Bombyx mori: one gene and its partner. The protein of the gene in region 1 interacts with the protein of each later gene in a biochemical or structural test. Links are inferred from orthologs where the notes say so. Each region holds a gene or a part of one and is shown in the gene's direction. Other genes may lie near its edges.

The links. The genes of interacting proteins can lie anywhere in the genome.
Region 2: of the proteins of TOR1 (region 1) and repressor of RNA polymerase III transcription MAF1 homolog, one has a biochemical effect on the other in vitro, tested with the Homo sapiens proteins (2 studies listed by BioGRID and IntAct). The link is inferred for Bombyx mori from reciprocal best matches to the Homo sapiens genes MTOR and MAF1.

The regions. Positions count from the first base shown.
Region 1 is NC_085109.1:10,806,750-10,810,711, reverse strand, and holds the start of TOR1 (target of rapamycin), read left to right. Parts: upstream 1-1,162; 5' UTR 1,163-1,297; exon of another isoform or gene 1,298-1,395; coding exon of another isoform or gene 1,396-1,645; intron 1,646-1,791; coding exon of another isoform or gene 1,792-1,910; coding exon 1,911-2,559; intron 2,560-2,651; coding exon 2,652-3,962. UniProt on the Homo sapiens protein: Serine/threonine protein kinase which is a central regulator of cellular metabolism, growth and survival in response to hormones, growth factors, nutrients, energy and stress signals.
Region 2 is NC_085110.1:12,881,044-12,884,993, forward strand, and holds the start of repressor of RNA polymerase III transcription MAF1 homolog, read left to right. Parts: upstream 1-1,150; 5' UTR 1,151-1,828; coding exon 1,829-2,034; intron 2,035-2,637; coding exon 2,638-2,758; intron 2,759-2,840; coding exon 2,841-3,118; intron 3,119-3,551; coding exon 3,552-3,615; 3' UTR 3,616-3,950. UniProt on the Homo sapiens protein: Plays a role in the repression of RNA polymerase III-mediated transcription in response to changing nutritional, environmental and cellular stress conditions to balance the production of highly abundant tRNAs, 5S rRNA, and other small non-coding RNAs with cell growth and maintenance.

The DNA.
Region 1 (3,962 bases):
CGCAAGTGTTGCTAACACTGGCCCTAACATCTACTGGTGGTAGGACCTCATGTGAATACTGGTGGTAGGACCACTTGTGAGTCAGCGTGAACCACCACCCTGCCTATTTTGGCCATGAAGCAGTGATGCGTTTCGGTTTGAAGGGTGGGGCAGCCGTTGTAACTATACTTGAGACCTTAGAACTTATATCTCAAGGTGGGTGGCGCATTTACGTTGTAGATGTCTATGGGCTCCGGTAACCACTTAACACAAGGTGGGCTATGAGCTCGTCCACCCATCTAAGCTTTGATGTTTAATGTGTTTTAAGCAAACACATACTATGTTGTTTGCTTTCCCTATTATTTTCGAAAGCCATAAAAGAACCATAAATGGCTTTGATGAAATGTCTATGACCCGAGTTGAAGCTGATGATCAATTTAACTTTGTCGTACACGAAAAAGAAAAAGATAAAAGTACACAAAAAAAATTATATCACACGGATTCTTCAATGTATCTAATTATAATAACTATGTATAGTTCAAAGTAGGGAAGCAAGGGTAGTTTTCCAATTACAGAGCATAATGCGACTCAGTGGGACACAATGCCGAATTATGCTGAAGCATAATTGGAACGTGAATTAGTTTTCAAATGCATCAGCAGAGTGCGCTAAGTTCAGTATTGAAAAAAATATATTCAAACCTCATTAATGTATAAATAATGTAGTGGTAAACAATAATAATTGGTTGAAAACTATTTACGGTTATTTTAAGTAATTTAGATTTTGATTATTTCATTAACACTTTTTTAAGTTTTGAGTAATTTTTATAAACGAGTTATAAGAAAATTATATACTTTTTAATTGAATCATCTTATCCAGATGATAGTGTTGACGATGATTTATCGAGTGCTTCGAGTTTAAATCAATTATTTCATTAACAAGTGATATACTTATTGAAAATATATATGATAATGAAACAGATGAGTTATTTGAGCCATTAATAAAATATCTGATGACAGGCAGTACTTTTGAGAGTGCTCGATTGTGCGAAGCGTTGCTGTAGTTGGACCATTCAACGTTGAGCATTATGCCGCATAATGTGCTGTAATTGGAAAACTACCAAGAAGATTTTTTTAAATACCTACATTTGTGAACCATAGATAATCTATCAATCCTGTGTCAATGGCCGAATGTTATTAACTTCATTTGTTTACATTTATCTTTTAATAATTTGTTTAAAAATCGTTGACTATCAATTAAGTCGACAAATATACAAACGAAATCATGACTAATAGTAATTTGAGTGAAACATTGATAGAGGTTTGAATTCATAATAATTTATAGCAGTGATGGTGATGAACTGCGAGTGTAATAGTTTGTTCTGAGTCTTTTAAAAAACAAATCTGGCTTTCCTTGAAATGAAAATTTCTGACAAAGGCGACAATATGACGAATCATCAAGTATTAGAGCTGATATCAGGTCTAAAATCTCGACATTCAGAAACAAGACACCGAGCTGTGCGAGAGTTGCTACATTTTGCCAAAACAGAACTGCGGGAAATGTCTCAGGATAGTTTGACCCAAATTTTAGATGATTTCAACCAACAGATACACGATATGACCACTAGTTACGATAACAACGAAAAAAAAGCTGGAATTCTTACTATAGGTACATGATAGAGGTTATATTTTTCTATTGGCCATGATTCACATGTCTTTAATGGTTCCAAATAATTAATCTATTAACAAATACAGAAATTTTGGAGTAGGTGGTGCTAATTTAAATAAATAAAATGTTATAAAATATCTTTTCAGTTTGTCTTATTGGAGGTGATACAGAGACCACCAAAACAAGGACAATACGTTATGCAAATTATCTACGAAATGTGTTTCCATCTACAGACATAAATCTCTTAGAATTGGGTGCTAAAACTATGGGACGATTAGCTTCCTCATTAGGAATTAAAAGAGGAGAATATGTGGAGACTGAAATAAAAAGATGTTTCGAATGGCTAGCTGAAGAAAGAAATGAAGGCAAACGATTATCGGCTGTTTTAATTTTGAGAGAACTGGCTATATCTATGCCATCATATTTTTTTCAGCAAATAAATGGATTCTTCAATCATATCATGAGAGCACTTAGAGATCCTAAAGATCAAATACGAGAAGCTGCAGCAAAAGTTTTGAGGGCTGCTTTTGCAGTAACCTCTCAGAGAGAGCAGCCAGAGCAAAGTAACAAAGCTCATTGGTATATTCAATGTTATGAAGAAGCAGAGACATCATTTGGTGATCATGCTATTAGAGAAAGGGGATTGAACAGGGATGACCATGTGCATGGAGCTTTATTAATTCTAAATGAATTACTCAGGTGCTCAAATGCAGCATGGGAGAAAAAATACACTTCTCTAATGCAAAAGCTAGACCCTGATTTAGATTCTCATGATGAAATGTCTTCTCTCAGTCCTAAAATTCAGGGTTCATGGTCATTGTCACATTATTCAGATGAAAAAAATCAACCTCTAATATTTGAATCCAGTATTTGCAAGAAATTAATTGAAGATAATTGTGAAAAAATCTCAGCTGGTATGAACTGGCAAAAAAAAATTAATTTGTATTTAGAAAAATAAATTATAGTGTCATTGTATCTATTGAGACTAAACAATTATTTTTTACAGATGTAATGGCTCAGCAAATATCAAGAGCTCATAATGTGCATCAGATGCTCCTTCTGTTAATACCTCGATTAGCTGCCTTCAACAAAGAAACTTTTGCTAAAAGACATCTGAAGTCAACGATAAATCATTTGATAACATTCTTACGTGGTAGAGAAAAAGAAAAGGCCATGGCTTTCACCACACTTGGCTTGGTTTGTGTAGCTATGGAATCAGATGTACAACAGTATCTCTCAAGAATTATTGATATTATCAAATTAACCCTGCCAATCAAAGAAACACAGAAAAAACGTAACGGATCTGAAACACCATTATTTCATTGTGTTACATTACTAGGATTTGCCATGAAAGAGAATGTAGCAAATGAAGTTAGAGAGCTGCTAGATTCTATGTGTTTGACAGGCTTAAGTCCACAATTAACAACTTGCTTTAAAGAACTAAGCAATAATTTACCTTCTTTAAAAAAAGATATAACTGATAAATTATTGAACATGCTATCTTTAATATTGAGAAAGAAACCTTATGTTTCTACCAACGAAAATCACAAAGGTGTCTTCACAACTGCTTTGCTAGCAGAACCTCATGATGCCAATAAATTAGTATTGGCTTTGAGGACTCTAGGTTCTTTTGATTTTGAATGGAATAACACTTTGATGTCCTTCATCAGAAGGTGTACAGATCATTATCTGCTGTGTGATCATCACGACATTCGGCTAGAAGCAGTAAAGACAGCTGCAAGATTATTAACGAAAGCTGTGGAGAGATGCGCCCAGATAAATTCACGAACTTTAAATTTAATGATTGATGAATCCATAGGTAAAATTTTGTCTGTTGGACGATCAGATTTTGATCATGAAATACGCTACAGAGTACTTGAGGTGTTTATGAATCCAGTATTTGACAGATATCTTGCTGTAGAAGAACATCTAAATTGTCTTTTTGTTTCTATTAATGACTCGAATTCTGAAGTTGGAGAACTAGCACTGTGCATTTTTGCAAGATTGAGCAATCTCAACCCAAGCTATACCACACCAACATTGCGTCAACTGTATGTACAAATTCTAATAGATTTGCAACATTCAGAATCTCCGCGGAATAAAGAAAAAGCTTTACGAATGATAAATAATATTATATCTCATGCTCCCACAATTACACGTCAATTTGTTGATACAATTCTAAATGTGCTTATACCGAAACTGAAAGAAAAGGACAGTAATTCCACTATGATATCTACAGTACTAAAGGCCATCGGAGATTTGGCAGAGGTTAATGGTGGTGGACATGCTTTAAATAAATGGTTAACAGAATTGATTT
Region 2 (3,950 bases), on another chromosome or scaffold:
CTCACGCAGGTGCTCACTGGGCATGGTTGCTTCGGTGAGTTCCTGCACCGGATCGGAGCCGAGCCGACGGCAGAGTGCCACCATTGTGGTTGCGACTTGGACACGGCGGAACACACGCTCGTCGTCTGCCCCGCATGGGAGGGGTGGCGCCGTGTCCTCGTCGCAAAAATAGGAAACGACTTGTCGTTGCCGAGTGTTGTGGCATCGATGCTCGGCGACGACGAGTCATGGAAGGCGATGCTCGACTTCTGCGAGTGCACCATCTCGCAGAAGGAGGCGGCGGGGCGCGTGAGAGACGCGCAAGCCCGCCGCCGTCGAGCGGGGGCCAGGGAGGCGGATCTCGCCCAAGCCCTGGCCCTCTAAGTGTTTCGCGTCCCCTTCATATGTCGGTCTGTGGACCGGCGAAGGGGGCCTAAGTAGACGACGTGCAAGCTGCTCTGCACGCGTTTTACGCAAGAGCATCCGGGTGATGGAAGGCCGGCTATCCTCGACCCACGCTGGTTCTGACCCAGCGGGGTATTCCGTAGTATAACCCATTCTAACCGGCGCCATCTAGGCGGGCTCCGGATAGCCTGCCGACCGAGAGGGCTGGTGGTCGTGGTGCCGACGACCGCTGGTCCGGCGTCCCGAGGGGGAGGGTGATGGGAGAGATGTGCTCCGCACTAAACGCTTCACTTTCCCTCCTTTGCCTTTTCATGGGTTCTGTTACATGCGAGGTTCGGACGCGGGTTGTTGAGCGACAGGAGGTTTTAGTCAGTTCGACTCCGACATGCCCCGCCTTCCATCCCCAGGGGAGGGCGGAAGTCCGGCGATTTCCTCCAGACCAAAAAAAAAAAGCTTATATGATGTAGGCAATTCTAAATACTATTCTAGCTTCTAGCCACTGATTACAATAAGTAAATAATGATTACTTAACTATCAATATTATAATCGCACTAAAGAATGAGAAAAGGATTTTTCCTGAGACGAAGAAAGCTTAATAGCCACCTTCGTTGATGTCTGCTTCGACTGTGTTTGTGCAGCACCCTGATTTTTTCAAATTTGAGCCTCCATCACTGTTTTTTAAAGTCCAGACTAATGATATGAAATAATATTAGGAACTATTAAGTAAATGTAATGATGTAAACTTCTTACTTGAAACTATCAGTCATAAGTTAGGTAGGTAATTAGTAAGTGGTCTATTACATTTCATCCCATATCATCTCATCTCATCTCATTTCATTTCCTTTCATAATATCCTATTTCATATAAAAGAGTTTTCATTAAAATTAAAATTGACCTAAAGGTCTTAGTTACCAAGTCATAAAATCCCTTAAAAACTAAGTAGGTAGTCTATATTCTCTATATTGTTCGTGATTGTTGTACCTACTTGTGATTCGATTGAAGATTATTTTGTTTTGAAAAACTAAAGATAGTTTAGCTAATCAAATAATTTGTTTTCCAATAGTGATTATATTTAGCGACGATGTCTTCTATGGATTTTGGTTTTTGAAAATAACCGTTGTGTTTCTGCATTCTAAAAAGTGAAGTGACGCGAGCCATTGTGTAAACCCATCAACAAGTTTGTGGATAATTAATACTAGTACTGCAACTTCTAAAACCATCCTTTTCTCCTTTTTTGTGATGTTCCCGCATTTCATCCGCGCGGAAGAAGAACAGAAGTCGAATTTGATACCGAGTGTGAACCTTTTACACTCAAAGAGAAAAGGAATATTCATACACCCCACGGCTATGTACAGAAATAATTTATGGTGTAGTATAAATATAAATGCACCGATAATAACGAGCCTGTTGATCGGATAATTTGAACAGAATAAAATCAGAGAAAATGAAACTATTGGAAAGTGGTCGTTTGGAAGCATTAAGCAGAGCTCTGTCTATTCTGAATGGCGACAGTGCTGTACAAGGCCGCGTTGAAAGCTACAGCTGCAAAATGGCTGGCAGTGAGAAAGCTTTCTATAAGAAGTTTACTGCTGATGGAGAAACTACTCATAGTCTTCAAGCATTGTCTCCCCCTGAGAGTGTTACTTATAGGTAATCACATGATTACCCTGAAGTTACTTAAAAAAATGCAAGACAACACAGTATTTATGTACTGCACATACTGTAAATTGTTAACGTAGGAACATATAGCTATATTATTTACTTTTAACACTGTCCTAAATTACTTTCTTACCTTAGATAATAGCAGTGGGATTTATTAACTACTTTACACCAAATGGTTCTGGCATTTAATGTAAAGTAGTTAATAAAAATCTTAAAACATTAAGATGAAGCCTCAATTGCATTAGACAACCTTACTTTATACTTAGAAACAGAGAGAGCCTGGACAGTGTTCTCCTGTGACATATAACTAGGCCTATATAATAATCTACGTATAAGATATATATTTTCAAAAGTCCACCCGATTTGATGACAATATTCTAACTATAAATATTATTATTAATAATGTTATTGGTTTAATTGATAATGACATACAGTTTTCTGTGATTATGAAAAACATTCAAAATATTGGAAATAATGTAAGGACAATAAAAATCCTGAGATTAAACCCTAAAACTAGTTTTGATTGTGTATGAATTGCAAAAACTGAAAAGAACATTGATCATTAATACTCATATTGAAATATTATTTTAGCCGGAGCTTGTCTGGTGACGAAGACGGTGTGTTATGCGACACCATTTCAAGGAAAACATTGTTTTATCTCATTGCTACATTGAATGCTGCTTTTCCAGACTATGATTTCTCCATGGCAAAGGTACAGTATTATTAATATGTAGCAATTGAATTTAGTAATGATGATGTTCGTATGTCATTAACATTTTTATTACCTTTTACAGAGCAGTGAGTTCAGTGCTGAACCGTCATTGAATTGGGTGCAAAGTGCAGTTGATGCTGCCTTATCTGCAGTAGGTGGTGTGCGTTGGCGCCAACTGCGTCCAGTCTTGTGGGCTGCTGTTGATGAAGAAGTGCTCCTACCAGAATGTCGTATCTACAGCTATAATCCAGACCTAGCTACTGATCCATTTGGTGAACCTGGATGTCTTTGGGCTTACAACTTCTTTTTCTACAATAAGAAGTTGAAAAGGATTGTTTTTCTCACTTTCAGAGCTATAAGGTGTGTTTAATACATTACATCCTGATTTGTGTTACAATTAGTCATCATTTCTAAGAAGATTTTATACATTACTAGTAAAACCAGACTTTTGATTGGATGTGACTGTCATTTCTCAATAAAATTTACTGTTTCATACCTTTCACAACTCCTATTGGAAATTATGTACATTCTTGTAATGTAAAATTTCGAAACAACCAATATAATTATGTGTACTACTAATTTTAGTAAAATCAGTCCAACCATTTTTGAGTTTAAGTACACTGAACCTAAATACATATTAATGTATAAAATGATAATGTTTTACAACAAAATAAATAAATATTTTTTTTACTACTAAAAAACTTTCTAGTATCTTATGTCTGCCAACAAATCTGAATATACACTACTTACGTTTTACTATCATAAATTACTATAATAATCTTATTATTTGCAGCCCTGTTTGTGCAGCCGACTCTGGTGTTGATTTTGCCATGGATGAAGATGAAGATTACAACTGATAAACTCTTGTTTTTAATCAATGAAAGTGTTTTTCCGTTATGGATAATCCATTACTAGGTACATAGAGTACATAGATTTTATGTGAACTACTATTATATACAGTTGGAAAGAATATTTATTTATGGAAATAAAAGCAATAGATACTTTTTTAATGTTTAAGACATAAGATTCACACAACAATATAGATCAAAATATTTAAGTATGTACAATTCCTATTTGTGAATTCAGGAAAAGCATAAAGTAATTGTGTGTTTATAGTCTTATCATTTACTTGATGTTCAGTAATTACAGTATTGTAGTATCTTACATTTGATAAAATAATAATTTTGATAAT